Linked DNA regions of Xenopus tropicalis. The protein of the gene in region 4 binds, or shares a complex with, the protein of the main gene of each other region. Links are inferred from orthologs where the notes say so. Each region holds a gene or a part of one and is shown on either strand. Other genes may lie near its edges.

Evidence for each region. The genes of interacting proteins can lie anywhere in the genome.
Region 1: the proteins of gtf2e2 (region 4) and gtf2e1 are in contact, whole or in part, in a crystal structure (PDB 5GPY), measured with the Homo sapiens proteins. The link is inferred for Xenopus tropicalis from reciprocal best matches to the Homo sapiens genes GTF2E2 and GTF2E1. Residues at the interface, in NP_002086.1 of Homo sapiens: Asp159, Gln160, Arg161, Gly162, Leu163, Gly164, Gly165, Leu167, Leu190, Val192, Asn193, Arg194, Pro195, Ile200, Phe202, Cys208, Gln209, Phe210, Ser211, Val212, Asp213, Glu215, Phe216, Gln217, Leu219, Trp220, Arg221, Val223, Thr224, Val225; in NP_005504.2 of Homo sapiens: Arg16, Lys19, Tyr20, Val21, Arg23, Gly24, Phe25, Tyr26, Ile28, Glu29, Leu32, Arg39, Leu51, Leu52, Lys53, Phe54, Asp55, Gln58, Gly68, Asp69, Lys70, Phe71, Lys73, Thr98, Asn101, Val102, Val103, Lys104, Tyr105, Lys106.
Region 2: gtf2e2 (region 4) and polr2j share a complex: the UniProt entries of both Homo sapiens proteins name them as parts of the TBP-based Pol II pre-initiation complex. The link is inferred for Xenopus tropicalis from reciprocal best matches to the Homo sapiens genes GTF2E2 and POLR2J.
Region 3: gtf2e2 (region 4) and ercc2 share a complex: the UniProt entries of both Homo sapiens proteins name them as parts of the TBP-based Pol II pre-initiation complex. The link is inferred for Xenopus tropicalis from reciprocal best matches to the Homo sapiens genes GTF2E2 and ERCC2.

The regions. Positions count from the first base shown.
Region 1 is NC_030678.2:2,926,736-2,931,596, reverse strand, and holds the start of gtf2e1 (general transcription factor IIE subunit 1), read right to left. Parts: upstream 3,411-4,861; 5' UTR 3,394-3,410; intron 2,083-3,393; 5' UTR 2,071-2,082; coding exon 1,623-2,070; intron 1-1,622. Other genes in the region: rabl3 (rab-like protein 3), read left to right, coding at 3,810-3,855.
Region 2 is NC_030678.2:94,651,959-94,656,978, reverse strand, and holds the start of polr2j (DNA-directed RNA polymerase II subunit RPB11-a), read left to right. Parts: upstream 1-1,610; 5' UTR 1,611-1,636; coding exon 1,637-1,689; intron 1,690-3,515; coding exon 3,516-3,605; intron 3,606-4,542; coding exon 4,543-4,717; intron 4,718-5,020. Other genes in the region: txlng (gamma-taxilin), read right to left, coding at 1,110-1,178. UniProt on the Homo sapiens protein: Core component of RNA polymerase II (Pol II), a DNA-dependent RNA polymerase which synthesizes mRNA precursors and many functional non-coding RNAs using the four ribonucleoside triphosphates as substrates.
Region 3 is NC_030684.2:70,774,730-70,779,700, reverse strand, and holds the start of ercc2 (TFIIH basal transcription factor complex helicase XPD subunit), read right to left. Parts: upstream 3,411-4,971; 5' UTR 3,282-3,410; coding exon 3,277-3,281; intron 2,567-3,276; coding exon 2,467-2,566; intron 1,807-2,466; coding exon 1,729-1,806; intron 1,659-1,728; coding exon 1,596-1,658; intron 1,461-1,595; coding exon 1,347-1,460; intron 1,254-1,346; coding exon 1,137-1,253; intron 350-1,136; coding exon 233-349; intron 126-232; coding exon 2-125; intron 1-1. UniProt on the Homo sapiens protein: ATP-dependent 5'-3' DNA helicase. Component of the general transcription and DNA repair factor IIH (TFIIH) core complex, not absolutely essential for minimal transcription in vitro.
Region 4 is NC_030677.2:83,811,365-83,815,523, reverse strand, and holds the end of gtf2e2 (transcription initiation factor IIE subunit beta), read right to left. Parts: intron 2,058-4,159; coding exon 1,942-2,057; intron 1,552-1,941; coding exon 1,435-1,551; 3' UTR 770-1,434; downstream 1-769. UniProt on the Homo sapiens protein: Recruits TFIIH to the initiation complex and stimulates the RNA polymerase II C-terminal domain kinase and DNA-dependent ATPase activities of TFIIH. Both TFIIH and TFIIE are required for promoter clearance by RNA polymerase.

The DNA.
Region 1 (4,861 bases), on a different chromosome or scaffold from region 4:
GAGAAGCAGCAGGTGGGGGGCAGGAGGGGGTTCTGTATGCTGGGGCTCAGAGAGAAGCAGCAGGAGGGGGGCAGGAGGGGGTTCTGTATGCTGGGGCTCAGAGAGAAGCGGCAGGAGGGGGGCAGGAGGGGGTTCTGTATGCTGGGGCTCAGAGAGAAGCAGCAGGAGGGGGGCAGGAGGGGGTTCTGTATGCTGGGGCTCAGAGAGAAGCAGCAGGAGGGGGGCAGGAGGGGGTTCTGTATGCTGGGGCTCAGAGAGAAGCGGCAGGAGGGGGGCAGGAGGGGGTTCTGTATGCTGGGGCTCAGAGAGAAGCAGCAGGAGGGGGGCAGGAGGGGGTTCTGTATGCTGGGGCTCAGAGAGAAGCGGCAGGAGGGGGGCAGGAGGGGGTTCTGTATGCTGGGGCTCAGAGAGAAGCAGCAGGAGAGACACAGCTCTCATTCACTGCAAAATAAAATAAATTCCCTGTTCCAGTCCCCCCAGGAGAGAAAAGGAGCGTCAGTGCCAGGTATTGGGCCATTATGTTCTGCCAGCCCACAGCTCCCTCTAGTGGCCACTCTCATACAGACAAAGGAAACAAATGAAAGCTAAAGATTCATTTTTATAAACACTAAAGAGACAACTTGTCACCCAAATGCCAGAAATACGAGCCCACGGCACGAGGCCTGCTAATGAGCCCGCAGTGGGTGCATATCGCCAGTGGGTGCATATCGCCAGTGGGTGCATATCGCCAGTGGGTGCATATCGCCAGTGGGTGCATATCGCCAGTGGGTGCATATCGCCAGTGGGTGCATATCGCCAGTGGGTGCATATCGCCAGTGGGTGCATATCGCCAGTGGGTGCATATCGCCAGTGGGTGCATATCGCCAGTGGGTGCATATCGCCAGTGGGTGCATATCGCCAGTGGGTGCATATCGCCAGTGGGTGCATATCGCCAGTGGGTGCATATCGCCAGTGGGTGCATATCGCCAGTGGGTGCATATCGCCAGTGGGTGCATATCGCCAGTGGGTGCATATCGCCACAACAACATAGGAGAAAAAAAAACCATGTCTGCAATAAACAAAACAATCCAGAAATACCCCGTGCCACTAAATCAGCCCCAACCTCCCAGCCTGGTACGTGGTCTCCCCCCACAAAGGAGCTGTCACTGCCCTCCCCATGTACCTACTGCCCAGCTACTGACTACGGAAGCACCGATCCCTATGGCAGAAGGATCTATGGAGATACTATCCCCCCCACTGTATAGGGCCGGATGGCTTTACCATACTATATTGTTATATATATATATTTAACTGTTAGTATGTTATAGAACAGACAATTCTGAGCAACTTTTCAATTGATCATCATTTATAGTCTTTTAATTGTTTGCAGCCTTCTAACTCCTTGTAACTTTCAAATGGGGGTCATACTTAGCTGTAATATTGGTGTGTAGGCGCCATCTCAGTGCCTTGTGCCTGAGTCTGAGCTTTCAGCCAGCGCTACCCATTAGAACTGCTTTCAGCTAACCTATTGTTTCTCCTACTCCCATGTAACTGGAGGAGTCCCAGGGCTAATGCTCCTATAAAATGACTGTTTGGGGGTTCCCATACACAGCAGCGCAGACGAAGCACAAATGGCCACTTACCTGTCATGGGGTCGAAGAGCTGGTTAGCCTCGAGGTCAGTGAAAGTGCTGCAGCAGTTTGGGCACTTGAAAGACGCTCTGTTGGTTGAATCTCTCTCGTCGGTCTCGATCCGGCGCCTCATGTGGTCCAGCTTGTACTTCACCACGTTGACCAGCAGCCTGTAGTTAATAAAGTAGTAGTTGTGCCTGGTGGTCTTCCCGTCGGTGGCGGTCTCCACGCGCATTCGGCACTTGATGAATTTGTCGCCCTTGAGAGTGTTGAGAACGGCTCTCAGTTGCTTCCGGTCGAACTTCAGCAGCTCCATCATGTCGTCTTCCTTCACACAGGGGTTCCGGATGAGAATATCCAGCGCCAGAGCGTGCTCCAGCCCGTAGAACCCACGTACCACGTACTTGGCCAGGCGTTTCAGCACGGCGGGGACTTCTGTAGCCACATCTGGGTCCGTCATCTTGCCCCTGCCCTTAAGAACAGTAATACATATATGTGTAGGGACCCATAGGGTTAAACTCCCCTATGGCTTTAAACTCCTAGTTACTGGGCAAATACCTGTGTATCTATTTTATCCTTTGCACTTATACCTGATTGGTTATTTGGGTTGACCACACCCCTTGTACTCTCATATAGTGTTTAGCAGGGGGGTGTGGCTTCCTCTTTGGCTGCCACTGAGACTCAGCTGAAGGTCCACTCATCTTAGGGTCTAGGAGAGTGGAGTATGGGCACCATGAGGCACTGGGATGCACCTGATGTGCTTTTTTGAATTGTTTTGTATCAATTTGAGCCAATAAATGATTGTTTATTTCACTGAATAAATTGTTGATTGAAGGTCCACTGAGCCTGGGATCAGAATAGGCCCCAGTAAAGCCATCTGCCCTAGAGTACCCATGAACGAGGACTATCTAGAGTAGCAGAATACTGTAATAGCACTCTCTAGGAGAGTGAGACAGATAGAACTAGATAGTAAGAGCAGTTCTGGCTCCAACCAGGAGGTTAGCTGGGAGTACCTTCCATACAGGCACTGTTGCCTCAGCCTAGGGCCACGGTTAAGATACAGGATACAGGTCAGTGTAAATCCCTGATATACAGTCGCTGTGGGACCCTTTCAAGCTAAAGGTATTCAACCTGAGGATTGGATTAACTATCCAGACTGCCCTCCATAGTGCCGAGCTGACAGTTGCATTTACCCTGCCCAGTCTGCCACAGAGGTGGGATAAGCCGGCGGCACCCTCTCTAACTAACCTCAAGGTGTCGGCTATTTCTGCACTTGTGAGTACTGATCTATCCCTGCGCTACTACAACTTGTCTTGGACAATTTTTGGTTCACAAGAGCGCCTGGCGTCCATCTTATCACTTGAGCTAAGCAATAACGCTACACAGCGGCAGTGGGAGGTGCAGTACAACAACACCCTGCAGTGGCTCCTCCCACATAGCGAAGGCCCATGTACCCCATGCTCTATACACAGCTGGCCAATGTAACCAGCCAATAGCAGTTAGAGATGTTCCCTCCTATGGGCACTTACAGTACAATTACCTTTAGTTATACCCCCCCCCCCCATTAACCCCATTGGCACTGAGCATCACACAGCAGCCTTGTTATAACAGAATGGAACATATAGGCACAAAGCGCCCTTCTGTCCCTCATATATAAATAACATAAATACAACACAATAAAGAGATATACGGGGCCCCCAGGGGCCAATGAGGAGAGGGCGGGTCACTGTATGTTCCACTCACATAAAACTAATGAATAAAATGAAGTTTGAGGACCACTCACCTCACACAGATTCTGCTCCCACCACACTGGTCAGATACGTAAAAAGTCCACGCCGCGCATCCAATCAACGTCTTAGTCTCCTGTAGCGGCCGCCATCTTTGTGAAGGATAACTATGTCACTTCCGCCAGTAACAAACCAATGTTATCACCGAGAGACACCAGAAAGAGAAATGGCCGACTGTGCCACATAATGCTTCGTTTCGTTGCGTGTCAGTGTAAAACGCAGAACCAAGTCTGTACTTCCGCCAGCAATGTAGTTTTTCCCGCCGGCCAATAACAAAACTGAAGTCAGAGCAGCAAAAACCCATGTGTTAGGTGCGCCGCCAATCCGCTGGCTGCATAGGCTGGGTTGCTAGGGGGCGGCAGTTACGGAAATGAAGACGTGTCAGGATTGGCTAGAAGCCTGACAGAGTAAGATGGCTTCTCTGGACAGAGTGAAGGTTCTGGTTCTGGGGGATTCAGGTGAGCAGGGGTAAAGGGGAATCCCGGTCAGTGTGGGAGTTGGGGTACAGGTGTGGGAGTTGGGGGTACAGGTGTGGGAATTGGGGGTACAGGTGTGGGAGTTGGGGGTACAGGTGTGGGAGTTGGGGGTACAGGTGTGGGAATTGGGGGTACAGGTGTGGGAATTGGGGGTACAGGTGTGGGAGTTGGGGGTACAGGTGTGGGAGTTGGGGGTACAGGTGTGGGAATTGGGGGTACAGGTGTGGGAATTGGGGGTACAGGTGTGGGAGTTGGGGGTACAGGTGTGGGAGTTGGGGGTACAGGTGTGGGAGTTGGGGGTACAGAGGGAGCGGAACTTGCTGTTCTGAAAAGACCAAAGGAATGTGGGGCTGGGGGTACAGAGGGGAGACAGGGGCTGGGGGTACAGAGGGGAGACAGGGGCTGGGGGTACAGAGGGGAGACAGGGGGGAGACAGGGGCTGGGGGTACAGAGGGGAGACAGGGGCTGGGGTACAGGGGGGAGACAGGGGCTGGGGTACAGGGGGGAGACAGGGGCTGGGGTACAGGGGGGAGACAGGGGCTGGGGGTACAGAGGGGAGACAGGGGCTGGGGGTACAGGGGGGAGACAGGGGCTGGGGGTACAGAGGGGAGACAGGGGCTGGGGGTACTAGGGAGACAGGGGCTGGGGGTACAGAGGGGAGACAGGGGCTGGGGGTACAGAGGGGAGACAGGGGCTGGGGGTACAGAGGGGAGACAGGGGCTGGGGGTACAGAGGGGAGACAGAGGGGAGACAGGGGCTGGGGGTACAGAGGGGAGACAGGGGCTGGGGGTACAGAGGGGAGACAGGGGGGAGACAGGGGCTGGGGGTACAGAGGGGAGACAGGGGCTGGGGGTACAGAGGGGAGACAGGGGCTGGGGGTACAGAGGGGAGACAGGGGGGAGACAGGGGCTGGGGGTACAGAGGGGTCCCAGGGAGACAGGGGCTGGGGGTACAAAGAGGAGGCACAAGGAGAGTGGGACAGGGGTTT
Region 2 (5,020 bases), on a different chromosome or scaffold from region 4:
CTGGTACATGGGATGGGGTTAGGGAATACACTGGTACATGGGATGAGGCTAGGGAATACACTGGTACATGGGATGGGGTTAGGGAATACACTGGTACATGGGATGGGGCTAGGGAATACACTGGTACATGGGATGGGGTAGGGAATACACTGGTACATGGGATGGGGTTAGGGAATACACTGGTACATGGGATGGGGTTAGGGAATACACTGGTACATGGGATGGGGTTAGGGAATACACTGGTACATGGGATGGGGTTAGGGAATACACTGGTACATGGGATGGGGTTAGGGAATACACTGGTACAGGATGGGTAGGGAACACTGGTACATGGGATGGGGTTAGGGAATACACTGGTACATGGGATGGGGCTAGGGAATACACTGGTACATGGGATGGGGCTAGGGAATACACTGGTACATGGGATGGGGTTAGGGAATACACTGGTACATGGGATGGGGCTAGGGAATACACTGGTACATGGGATGGGGCTAGGGAATACACTGGTACATGGGATGAGGCTAGGGAATACACTGGTACATGGGATGAGGCTAGGGAATACACTGGTACACGGGATGAGGCTAGGGAATACACTGGTACACGGGATGAGGCTAGGGAATACACTGGTACACGGGATGAGGCTAGGGAATACACTGGTACACGGGATGAGGCTAGGGAATACACTGGTACATGGGATGAGGCTAGGGAATACACTGGTACATGGGATGAGGCTAGGGAATACACTGGTACATGGGATGGGGCTAGGGAATACACTGGTACGTCATTACTGCAACACGTGCACCATTCCAGCTGATTAATCCCGGCTCAGAGTTCCCCATGAACAAGCTGTTGGAGTACACACACCTGAGCTAGGACACCTTGTACTCCAGTTACAGCTAAACTCCTTCCCAGGAACACAACCGTAGCCCAAAAGAGGCGAACAGAAGCTATTCTCTATTAAACACATGGATACTGTACTGTATCACCCCAATCGCTCCTACTCAATGTGGACTGACAGGTGGTATGGACATCGTGTGCTCACAAAGTCTGTCAGACGCGGGACTGTCGCACGTAAGACAGTAAAGCACCATGACTTCCTTGGCCATTACCTGCTCGAATTTTTCTAGCCTACCCGCGTCCTCCGATACAGCGCAACCCTTCTCAACCAGAGTCGACATACTGTGACGCACTCCTGTAAGTGCCGCGCTCTGACAAACACCAGCGACCCCAGGGCTACTTTAGCACACTGAAGCCTTCACACCAATCAGAGACGCCGCCGGCGTCCATGTGACGGGAGGTTGAGGAAGCAGCCCAGCTGCCATTTTTGACACTGGCGGAGTATTAATATTATTCATTGCGCTCAAAACTGCTTATGATTTGTATATGTTGGACCCATATTACACATAAGTAACTAGACGATGTAAATTTATTTTCCCTTTGAAAGTAGTGAAAGAGCCCACGTAGAACCTGGCCACCGCGGACTAGAATTTGTATTTCAGCATGCAATGTAAACGCAGAGTACCTTCAACATGGGAAGTGACGCCATTTGCTATTGTCGTGACGTCATCAGAACGGGCGAAAAGACAGTGAGAGTGCTGAGTGCAGCCGGGAAGCTGAAAGGACTCCCTCTCGCATCATGAACGCGCCACCAGCGTTTGAGTCTTTTCTACTGTTCGAGGGTGAAAAAAAGTAAGTATTTCATTCAGGCATATTGGCCTTTATACAGCCAATTAAAGAAACACCAAAACCAGCACAATATGACATAGCCATAGATGAAAGACTGCTGCACAAGTGTCACATTAACCCAGGACAGGCTCCCTGCTGGAAATTACAGTCAAGCTGCTATCATAGCCAAGGTGAAATGACAGTGAAATCCAGTGGATCGGTTTTACACAAACTGGCCCTGCTGTTGGCAATTAAAAATAAATTAACAGTAAATGAATTAATCTTTAGTATGTTATTAATGTACCTATTCCATGCAACTTTTCTCAAGGTGCCCACTTGTTGTTGTTTACTTTAAAGTATTAGCATTTTCATTCTGCCACTTTCCAGCTTGCAATTGAAAATGCTGTCTGGTTGTCTGGGCAACTTTAAAACATAATACCATCAGTTTTATTGTTATTTTAGATTTTATTCCATTTCAGACTATAAACCTGTGTATAAGAGGAATTGCATAACTCACTAAATCCTTTCTGTCTATTAGAGATTAGGTCCCGGTTATTACTGCAGACAAGGTTTGGCTTCAAATATTAGACTAGTTGAGATAACAATTAACCCCATATCATTATTATTATTATCATATATTATTTTCCATTCTTTAAATATCTGACCTTATTTATGGGTAACTGATGGATAGGAGTTGCTGATATGAGTATGGGGAAGATCAGTAGGGCACAAGTCTCCCAATAGGCTTCTCTGTTTCACATGCCACCTATCCATGGCCTTGGATGATGGCACTTTAGGTTTTATGGTGTCCACAGATAAAGCCTTTGGGTAGTGGGTTTCCAGGTTGGGTTTGTATCTTTTCAGTTAGGCCCACTCAGGTCTTAACTTGGAGGTGTAATTTTCTTGTTTTCCCCTCTTTATTTCATACAAGGTTACAGATATTTTATATATTAGTGACTCTGCCATAGTTCTATGCATATGGACTGGACATATCAACATTGGTGCTTTAATGTTACCCAAAGTTTGACACATCGCGGTGGAGCTGTACTTCTATGTCAAGTCTTATTTCTAAAGGTGGCCATACACGGGCCGACTATAGCTGCCGATATCGGTCCCTTGGACCGATTCGGCAGCTAATCGGCCCGTGTATGGGGAGAGCAGATCGGCCTGGCCGACCGATATCTGGCCTGAAATTGGCCAGATCTCGATCGGCCAGGTTAGAAAATCTGGTCGGATCGGGGACCGCATCGGCTCGTTGATGCGGTCCCCGATCCGACTGCCCCATTGCCTCCCACATAATCCGATCGTCTGGCCCCAGGGCCAAACGATCGGATTATTATTTTTTTTACCTAAATGGTCCCCAACGAGCCGATGCGGTCCCCGATCCGACCAGATTTTCTAACCTGGCCGATCGAGATCTGGCCAATTTCAGGCCAGATATCGGTCGGCCAGGCCGATCTGCTCTCCCCATACACGGGCCGATTAGCTGCCGAATCGGTCCAAGGGACCGATATCGGCAGCTATAGTCGGCCCGTGTATGGCCACCTTAACACACATAAGTGAATGGTTTAGGAAGGGAGGCTGATAAGTCATTGCACAGGAGCATATAATGGCCCACTCTACCGGTACCAATACACCAGGGAAGTGACAGGTGCTGCTCCTTCTTGACACTTCTTTTTATGTTGATTGCCAAATCAGACCATTTGCTCGACAGGTCAGTTCAACTTATAACCAAGTTGTCATTCAATGTATAGCTGCTTGTATTCTTTCTTTCTTACTGTTTTTATATGATCACATGTGATGATGATGTAGCTTGAATGCCTATATAACTAATAATCATTAATGTTTAGGATAACAATCACTAAGGATACCAAGGTACCTAATGCTTGTTTGTTTACAATCAACAAGGAAGATCATACAATTGGAAATATCATTAAGTCGTAAGTATTTATTTTTTTAACTTTATTTTAATTAAGGCAGAGTAGCACTATCAAACCAGCTGTTACAAATATCTCTAGTTACGGGGGGGGGGGGGGGGAGTTAAAAATGTCACACTTAGTGCTGTGGCACACGGGAAGATTAGTCACCCGCGACAAATCTCCCTTGTTGCGGGCTACTATTCTCCCCAATATGTAAATCGCCGGTGGGATGACATATGCAAAAATGAAAACTGCCAAAATAGATAGCAAAATAAAAAATATTTTCAATGTAGTTAATTAGGCAAAAATGTAATCTAGGGCTGGAGTGGGCAGATGTTTAACATAATGGCCAGAACTCTACTTCCTGCTTTACAGCTCTCTAAGCTTTTAGCTGTCAGTAGTCAATCAGTAAACAAAGGGAGCTTCTATGGCCATTCTGCTGAAAAATATAGCGTTCTACCTTTAAGATAAACATCTTTCATTCTGGGGATTTCCTTGTCCCTTAATATGATAAAGGGATAGTTTACCTTTACTTTTAATGTTAGTATGATGTAGACATTGACAATTTGCAATTGGTCTTTATTATCTATTTTTTATGTTTTTTGAGTTATTTATCTTTTTGTTCAGCAGCTCTCCAGTTTGGTATTTCTGCAGCTAATTGGTTGCTAGGGTCTTATCTACCATAGCAACCAGGCATTGGATTGAACAAAAGACCACAATGCGTGCATAGAAATATAAGTAATAGAAAGTAGCAATAATTTTAAAAATTGTAGCCTCAAAGAGAAGTAGTTTTTAACTGCCGGGGTAATTTTAAAGTTGCAAAAAGACAGAAGAGGAAGGCAATTAAAAATATAAAAAAATAAATAATGGAAACCAATTGTAAAGTTGCCAGGAATAGGGCATTATATGACATACTAAAAGTTAGAATGTATGACTTTGTAAACTTATTCTATTATAGACAGCTGCTGAAGGATCCTCAGGTGTTATTTGCAGGTTACAAAGTTCCACATCCTCTTGAGCATAAAATTATCATAAGAGTTCAGACAACACCAGACTACAGCCCCCAAGAGGCATTTACCAATGCAATCACAGACTTGATAAGTGAGCTGTCCCTTTTAGAGGAAAGATTTCGGGTATGTATAAAATCCATTTTTCCTGTTTATGCTTTCAAAAAACCCCAAATTTTTTCCCAAAATGTTTGAACAAAATGCTAAGCATTTAATTCTGTTACAAGATATATGCATTCAAGTATATAAAAAATGGGGGGAAAAAAAAACAGGTGTGAGTGCAGAGCACAGGAAGGCATAAAAGACTACTGCTTTTAATTTATTTAACAAACAACTTATAGAATATGTAAACCTTAAAAAATGAATGTAAATTGCTCTGGGTCCTTCTAAACACTTTTCCAATTTACAATATTATTTTCCTTTTCCAAT
Region 3 (4,971 bases), on a different chromosome or scaffold from region 4:
CCAATATTATGAGCTTCATCAAAGACAACAACAGATTTCTTGGAAAGTTCACGAGAGACAAGGTCAGCTATTTTGGGATCCAGTAAGTAGTGATAGCTGTACACAACCACATTGCACTGTCCGAGCTGCAAAAATACACAACATAATTTAAAACACAAACATTTATTCAGATATACTAGTCAATTATATCTTCTACAAGTTAGGACTGCATGAGAAATATTCAGACACTCACAGCATGTCGGGCAAGGTAATAAGGACACCAGCCTTTTTGTCTACCCAAAGTCCTAAGGTCATCCAGATTGTAGATACCAGGAGGAAGGGGGGTCTCACGTCCAATTGCATCAAATTCCTTAAAAAAAAAAAAAAAAACAGGGTTAGTAGCAGAGTAATCACTTGATTTTCCAAAATAAGCCTTTCTGCCCCATCTTTATTTTGCTAAACATGATGTATGCTCACCTGGGGAAGGCAGATAGCTATGAAAGAGTTATGTTTTTTTTTACTTTTCAAGTGCTTTTTACAATCTATGCTCTGCTTTGGTCTAAACTTTGTGTAAAGTTTCCTCCTGCAGGCAACTTTGCCTGACTTGGGAAAACTGAAGTGATTTGTACTGTTGACGATGGAAATGCATTTTGGAGAGATTAGTCGCCCATGGTAGGAGAGATCTATTGCGGTCGACTAAATTTCTGCATGGGACAAAATGGCTGCTGCTTTCTTAAATAAACCATACCTGTTTACTCAGGTATGGTAAAGCAGCCTGCAAAATAAATATAAAGCTCTAGCTTGCACTTTTGTGACTAATCTATTGGCAATAAAATGCCTGAGTAGCTTTCCTTCTTCTTTAATAAGGTGATAAGGAAATCAGGCTCTGTACTAAGCAAAATTGGAGACTTTGGAGGAAGTGTTAGAGAGGAGAATGCTGTTGAACTATAGAAAATGTTTCTTTATCCCTACATGCTACACAACACTTAAAAGTTAAAATTGCAGTTAAGCTCACAGACAGTGTAGAATGTCTTCAACTTTTACCACAAGTACATGGAACTTGTAAGACCTTACACATTTATCCATGAATGTTATAAGTAAATATTTTGGCAAGTATTAAAATTTTTGGTTTGGAATTTCTTTTAATTGCCTCATACCTCAAAAAAACGACAGGTTTGTACAGTTGGGTCTCTCTGCTTCTGGGAACGGACAAAGGAAGCTGTCAAACTGTGACAACGACCATCTATCTCTTTGCCAAATCGCAAAGCACTGACCTGAAAAACAGAACATACAAAACTGGAGAGATACCCAAAATATCACTAAAGCCTAATAGAAGATGTCATTCAGATATGAAAATGCATTCTCACCTCTGGATTAACACAAAGATTACGTCTGGAGCTCAGAGCCAAAGCCATAAAATTGAGTGTGCCTCCAGTCTGTGCTTGAGTGTATTCAATTAGCTTTCTTAACTCCTCCACCACCTGTAAAAAGGTTGCTATATATTAGTTATAAAATAATCACTGGCTTTCAATAGTACTTCAGTGAAGAGTAGGTTAACTGTACTTAGCAAAGTAACTGTACTTAGCAAAGTAATTATTTAAACAGTCATTTCTAACCTTCTCTATTTCAGGAACAGTTCTGGAGCAGTATATTAACTTAGTGACTTCCAACGGGTAAGCCTGCAAAATACAATATGTGTAAGAAAGTGAAAGAAGGTGCAAGAAAAGAGAATAAGAAAAAATGTATTACCCTTTGGTAGGCCACAATAAGCGACAGGAGAGAAACTGTTTTCCCAGTCCCAGACGGCATCTCCAGAACACCGTGACCCTAGGAAACAGACAAGCAGTACTATATATTTAAATAGTGCACAAAAAAAAGAGATTAATGCAGGTCAAATATTCAAACACCATACTTATAAATGATTTTTCAAAAACATCCAATAGATTTACTGACAATAAAAAGATCCTCACCTTAATGGAATGTTTATATTTAGCACTATAAATAGAGTTTAAGAATAGAGACTATTTTGGGCAGAATGCAAGAATATGAAGAGACAAATAAAAACATTAACCTGAGAATGCAACATACTTCTGTAATACTAAAATCTCAGCTTCAATGTAAAGAAAAACAGAAAATACAAGGGCAACAAGGATGAGCAAGAGACAGGTGAGAACTAATAATAACACAAGAAAAAGGCAAAACTGGGGAGTAAAACTGTCAGCATTTAAAGCAGTCAGGTGACCAGCACCTAACACTTAAAGGAAGAAAAAATGAGAGCTAGACACACAGATAGAATGTAATGCTTAAAATAATGCTAGTCATGATCTTCAACAGAAATTCTAGGCCCAGACATGCACTAGAACAAGAAGTTATTTTTATAATCAACCATATAATAAGCCAGAAAAGTCAGATATCCATGAAAATCCAAGTGGTTGCTATTGACATAAGCATGCATTATTTTAGTCCACTGTTCAGGGCAATACTTACTTTGGCATCCAGGGTCCTCTTGAGCTCCAACATGTAGGAGTACTGTTCGGGATAGATGTACTCATAGGGAAAGTATACCAGTAACCCATCTATATTCAGCCTGGCAGAAAAGTAATACACACAGGTAAGCTATTTTGATTAAGAAGTAACAATATCCAACATTCTATGATATTATGCTCAATCTCCTCATTCTTAGCTATTTTAAAAGATCTATTTTATGCTTGCTGATGGATGTTGTCTTTCCAAACTTCCTTATCCACACCTAAACTCTGCCATTAGAGATTAGTTTGTCTCTGTGGAATTAAGTTAAAGAAGGAAATCTGAGGCTATTGCTGATGGATTTATACGAAATACTCTTTGGACCCAACAGAATCATGAGCCCCATATAGTTCAATCCCCTGTATATGCATGTATTTAGCTTATAAGAGGTCTATAATATATGTAACATTTAAAAAATGTAACCAAGCAAAAAAAACAGGCCAGATTTCTCCCACTGTTCCACTTTAGTCTTACTAAGGGACTCTAGAATTCAGTGCTGTAAATTTAGACAATTTCATAAAAGATAACCGATTCTTTTTATTACCGAGATTACGTGAGATTTTTATTCGAAATCCCACGATACCCTTATTTGCCGCAAAGGATCTAGACCCACATGACATGTCCTCCCCGACTTTCATTTACGATAGACTATCAGGAGTGGGTGCAAATATTAAAACATTAACTTCGGGAGCAGACAAAAGACAAACGTAAAGACCCATTTCCTTATACACAGCATGGAAAGCACGATTGCCAGTTCTGAGATTGACTCACTTCATTGCTGCTTGAAGCTCCGCTTTACCCTTTGTTCCTCCCGGTTACAGAAATAAACTTTATACCTCTTTTTCTCTCAGCTTTTACGGCTTGTTTATTATCTTTACATGCCACTACTTTATAATACAAAAACTACACTTCAGGAAAACCATAATGAACAAGGGAAACGTGGCCAATAGGAAAGCACGACCGGCGTCATGACGTAAATGGGTTGAGGTTTCTGTGCTGTCTCTCACTAAGGAAGGCAGAAGCAATCGAAAGATGATACGGAAAGGTAGATGTAGAGCGTAGGTGCCTGGTAGACCGGGCTATTTGATGAGGTTTAGATCTAGACTAGAGTCACTGTGGTGGGGCTTGGGGTGGTTGAGAACGTATTTTTCTTAAGTGGAAATGAATTGACCATGTGTGTGTGAGTTGTGCCAGAAGAAGCCTCCTCTCAGAGCCTCCATCTTTTTACACCATCCACACCCACTGCGCTCTCTCGTCTTAAACTTTCTATCTCGCTGCTCCTTACGTCTGGAACACTATCCCTGAATCCCTCCGTAGGGAACACTCACCCACTCTCTTTAAGAAAAAACTCAGCTGTTACCTTCTGGAGCACTAAAACATTATTTTGCCCAGTCCTGCGCTTAAGGGCAAATGCCCATACCTGATTGTATTTATTTATTATATCACTTGTCCTCCCTGTGTGTAATTTTGTATTCTGTAAGACTGTACAGCGCTGCGTACCCTTGTGGTGCTTTATAAATAAAGTTATACATACATACATACATACATGTCTGTCTGGTGTACTCGGGCGCACAATTACACAGAGATTGTAGTTATACAGTAGTATGTATGTATATCTTTATTCATAAAGTGCTACTTATGTACACAGCGCTGTACAGGGGTTATTAAGATAATAATGGATCAATCCAAAGTATAACAATAAAGTCCCTGCCCTGTAGAGCTTACAATCTAGATAGTAGTGTTTCTTTCAGGGCTGTGGAGTCGGAGTAGGAGGCAATTTTGGGTACCTGGAGTCAGAGTCGGAGTTGGCAAAAAATGAACCGACTCCGACTCCTACTAAATTTAAATGGGAATAAAAAAAAAAAAAAGCAAGTTTAAATGTCCCAATTCACAAACAGTCATAATTAATTACTTCTCTGCTATAAGAATAAAGCCCAATGCACGCAGTGCATAAATGAACACATTGAGTGACTATGAAGCTTTTCATTGACTGTATGCTTCACTAAATGGGATGTAACGCACAGTTAAGGTGCGGCAGCTCCACTGCGTCGTGTTCCTCTGTTACTGGGAACACAATGCCCACTGTGAACCTAGCCTAACTCTCACTGATAACTAATTAAGTAAAAAAAAATTGCAGGACTAGAAATACTTGTATACGTGAAGGGAATGGATAGTCAATAGTTTAAGACTGAAGCTTTAAAACATTTGAAAAACTGCTGTAATTCAGCTGCAATGTTAGCTTAAACTTTAAACATGACTATGGGATTCTAGGGAAATCAGTAGGAGTAGGAGTATAGATAAAATTGTCTATCAGTTTATTATCAGTTCAGTTGTGTTTTAAGTGCCCCTTCCTGGATGTATAAAATACATTAGCATATTAAAAACAGAGGAGTCGGAGTCGTGGAGTCGGAAGTATCAGAAACTGAGGAATCGGAGTCTGAGAATTTATCTACCGACTCTACAGCT
Region 4 (4,159 bases):
ATTAAATAAACCCAATAGGATTATTTATATCTTAGTTGGGATGAAGTACAAGGCACTGTTTTATTACTACAGAGAAAATTTTTTTAATTATTTGATTATAATGGAATCTATGGGAGATGGCCTTCCCTGCATATAAACCAACACTGCTGGGAGGAACAATGTCTATATTATGGAATACATAAGGGCTTAAGATATCTCTTTATAACTTGTGATGTCATCAGTTATTATTGGTGCTCAGTGATGTCATTACAGTGACTTACTGACTTGGTTATTTTACAAAATAATTTACACATATACATATACATATATATATATATATATATATATATATATATATACATATACATATATATATATATATACATATATACACACACACATACATATATATATATATATATATATATATATATATATATATATATATTTAAAAAGTCCAGGCATATGCTGATACAGTGGTACTTAGCTTAACAGAAATAAAAATAGGTTGCAGTTTCACAGTCTGTAAAGCTGCAACCCATATTTGTTTATTTTCTTAAAGGTGTTGCACTAGTTTCATATGGGGGTATGAACCCTTGATTTAGCAAACATCAACTGATATAATTACACATACACACATATACATTATATATACAAATATACCCGGAAACCCCAACATTTCGTAACCAAGTCCTTTGTAAAGGCGATTCCCTTTGACAAAAGGACTTGTAATACTTACTACATAAAGAGCATAATATGTTAACGTACCATTTGCTTCCTTGACTCTTACTTCCAAAAAGGTGTGCAACTATTTATTTTAAAAATATATATTATTCAGGATTTTGCAAAATCAAATTTGAACCACTGTTCTTTATATCATTTCTGTTCACTTTTTGCTATGGTACATTACGTATGTGCCAATTTAGACAAGTTTATAGAAGGTTCAAAAGAAAACAATCTTTATTACATTAAAACAAAAGAAAAAAAGTGGTTTAACCATTTTGTACGTAAAAGTTTTTATGTTGGCTAACAAAAGAAAGAGTTATTTTTGCTATTGAAATAGCACAATTGCCCTTTAAATACAATAAACACAAAACTCATTAAATCAGATGCTGGAGACATATTTATCTGAGCAACAAGGGGATCAGAATGAACAGAATTAAGCAGAGCAAAACCAGCACAATATTCGGCTTCCACAAACTGCCAATCGGTCTGTGTCTGGCAGAGACATGGCAGCTCTAGGATATTTTTTTAGCTAATGTATAGTACATTTGATTCTTTAATACTCCTAAGACAGAAATAAATGGTCTCTTTAACACCCAGAGAATGTAATTCTGGATTTTTGAGTCTGTGAGGGGAAATATTAGGTAACTATCAAGGTTTGGAGTTGATGAGCAGCTAAGGAGATCCTGCAGTGAAGATACTCTGTAAACATCCTTAGTCCAATTGATGCTTTTATGATTTGCCTGGAGCACCATCTGTATAATCTTTCAGCACTCCCGCCAAGTGGTCGTTATGAGTCTTAAACCTCCTTCTCTGTGAAGTAGTTTTCTTCCTCTTCTGCACTGGAATCTAAAATGTGCATTAATAAATTGCGTTAACGCTGCAAATAGCAGAACAAGGCACAGACTATGGAACACGAAGGCAAGTATAAAAACTACTGCAACCCAGAAAACAAATCTCTGCTACCGCGGGCAACTAATCTCCCTGACATGCCTTCCCACTGGCAATAATGTAAACCACCAATGGGAAGGCATACACATCTCTAAATCGCCCAAAGTTTCCTTGCCACTGGGAAGGCTTTTCAGGGAGATTAGTGGCCTGCAGTAGCAGAGATTAATCAACTAATCTCCCCGTGGGACATTAACCTAAGGATGTAAGTGTGGATTAAGGACAATATTCCTATTGTAGAAAAATTGACAGATTGAAAGGTATTTTACACAAATTATAAGGCTCTCTTACAATTTTCTTTGGTCCAGAGTCTTGCATTGAAGAAATTCCCTGCCTTTTTAGGTATTCTTCAATCTTCTCATCGTCCATGGAATCTACTGGGACACTCCTCCATAACTTCTGAAATTCTAAGAATAAGTAAATTCTTAATAGAACACATGCAGGACAACTAAGGTATTTATTCACAGGTGATTTTGAGCTCATCTGAGCTACACCTAGTTCATTCTGCACTCCATCATTAAAACCCATTATATGCACCTACATAAAAGGGCTGAGCTGATATAATGAATGGGACCCACCACAGCACCTATGATCAATGGAGAAAAACAGTGCCATTCAGCTTCTAAAGGTAGGAGTCACAACAAAACATGGATTTTATCTAAAAAGGTTCATATAGTATTCCGACTGGTATTAATTTCTCTCTCTTTGCAGGAGTCATTCAGATGTTTCATGACCTTTTTCTCATCTTAGCACTCATTTGTATTGCTGATGGAGTTTTGCAGCACATAATTTAAAAATAAGATTTTAGATACATTTACATGTACATAAAGTATGCAATATTGCTTACCACAGCTTTTTTGTGTTGGGGGGTGGGAGATTATATATATATATATATATATTTTTTTTTTTTTTTTTTTAAGTAAAGGCAATATTGCTATTACAGTAAAAGGTAGCAACACTAGAGATAAGATGATGAGGTACTTAGGAAGAGATAATGGATTGAGCTCAAGAGCGGTAGGAGTTGATAAATAAGTTATGGTTATTTTTTTATGGTTATCTATTATACAAATATATGCTTATGTCACAAGAAGACCTATAAACTAGAAGGCCTGCATTCTGAGGTGATGCTTTAATCACCATGATTACTATTATATCTAATGGCAAGCAATATGAGACAGAAGTGCTAGAAAGTGATTGGCCTTAGAAAAGAATCAGAGGCTGGTAAGCTGATAGCCTGATTTGCCAAAATAGAACTGCAGTTAACGTGTCCAGTCGAATATATAAACAACCCCAGTTTCTCACTCTATCATAAAATGTATGGGCATGCACAAGTATAACATTTGTGCACTGGTATAGGTGGTAGCGAGTACTGGCGTGTGGGTGCTTGTAGCAGCTGATCAACTCTACTATGTGGTTTAGTTTAAGTGCTGATGACTTCTGATGGTGTCCAAATGTATCATAAAATCATTTCTTGGCAACAGCATTACTTTACATTGAAATAAAATTGGTGGTAAAAACGCAAATCAAAATATTTTGCATTTCAGATTTTCACATCGCATTTTGTCATATCACTAGAAATAAGTGTACAAATTAGGATCTAGAAGCAGCTTGTTCAAATTGCATTTATCAGCCACAATGTAGCATTGTTAAACAAACGAAGGAAGCAGGATCTCTGGAGCCACTCTGTCTGAAGTAAGGGCAAGAGACAAGCTTCTCTGATATCACTCTGAATTTTCCCCTAAACATTAAAATGAAATACATTTGTGAAGTTATCGGCCTAAGCAGTTGGCTGTTTTATCTCTGATATACTGCACCCTGTGCGTAGGGGATAAAGCAGGTAACCCTGTGCTACTGCATTCCTATGAATAGTGAACTATGGCTTTGAGCACTGCAGATCTTATTCATCTGGAATGAATGGAGAGGGAGCGGTACCAGACACAGCTTCAAAGACATATCATTGGCTGGAGAGTGAAAAGCAACATATTTGTTGCACCACAAGTGATCTATATAGAATAAAATGATAATTTAAAGGGGATGATAAACAGGCTGTATATTGCCACAAAGTAGGATTTTCTGTCTCATTTGTCAGTCACCTTGTCACTCCTCCTAAACGCCCTATGTTTATCCATTCTACCAATAATCGTTTTAATCGGCCGGTGTATGGCCAACTTTATTTATTTGTATTTAAGTCTTTATGTCAATGAAATTTGACTGTAGGCTCCCCTAGGCACTAATATAACATGTGAGCTCTAGTTAATATATAATCAATCTAATTATAATAAATAACAGAAAACAAATTTACTATAAAGATGTCAAAAGAAAGGATATGTACAAAAAGCCATTATGTTAGTGATGACTTGTTTCCTATCATTAAAAGCAACTTATCAATCACATTATAGGGGCAGTTCACCGTCACATTTTCCCCCTATTTTTCCCCAGTAGTAGCTGTATAGAAACTGCAGATGGAGAAAAGCCAATGAACAGCCCTGTGTGCCACTAGCCTAAAAAG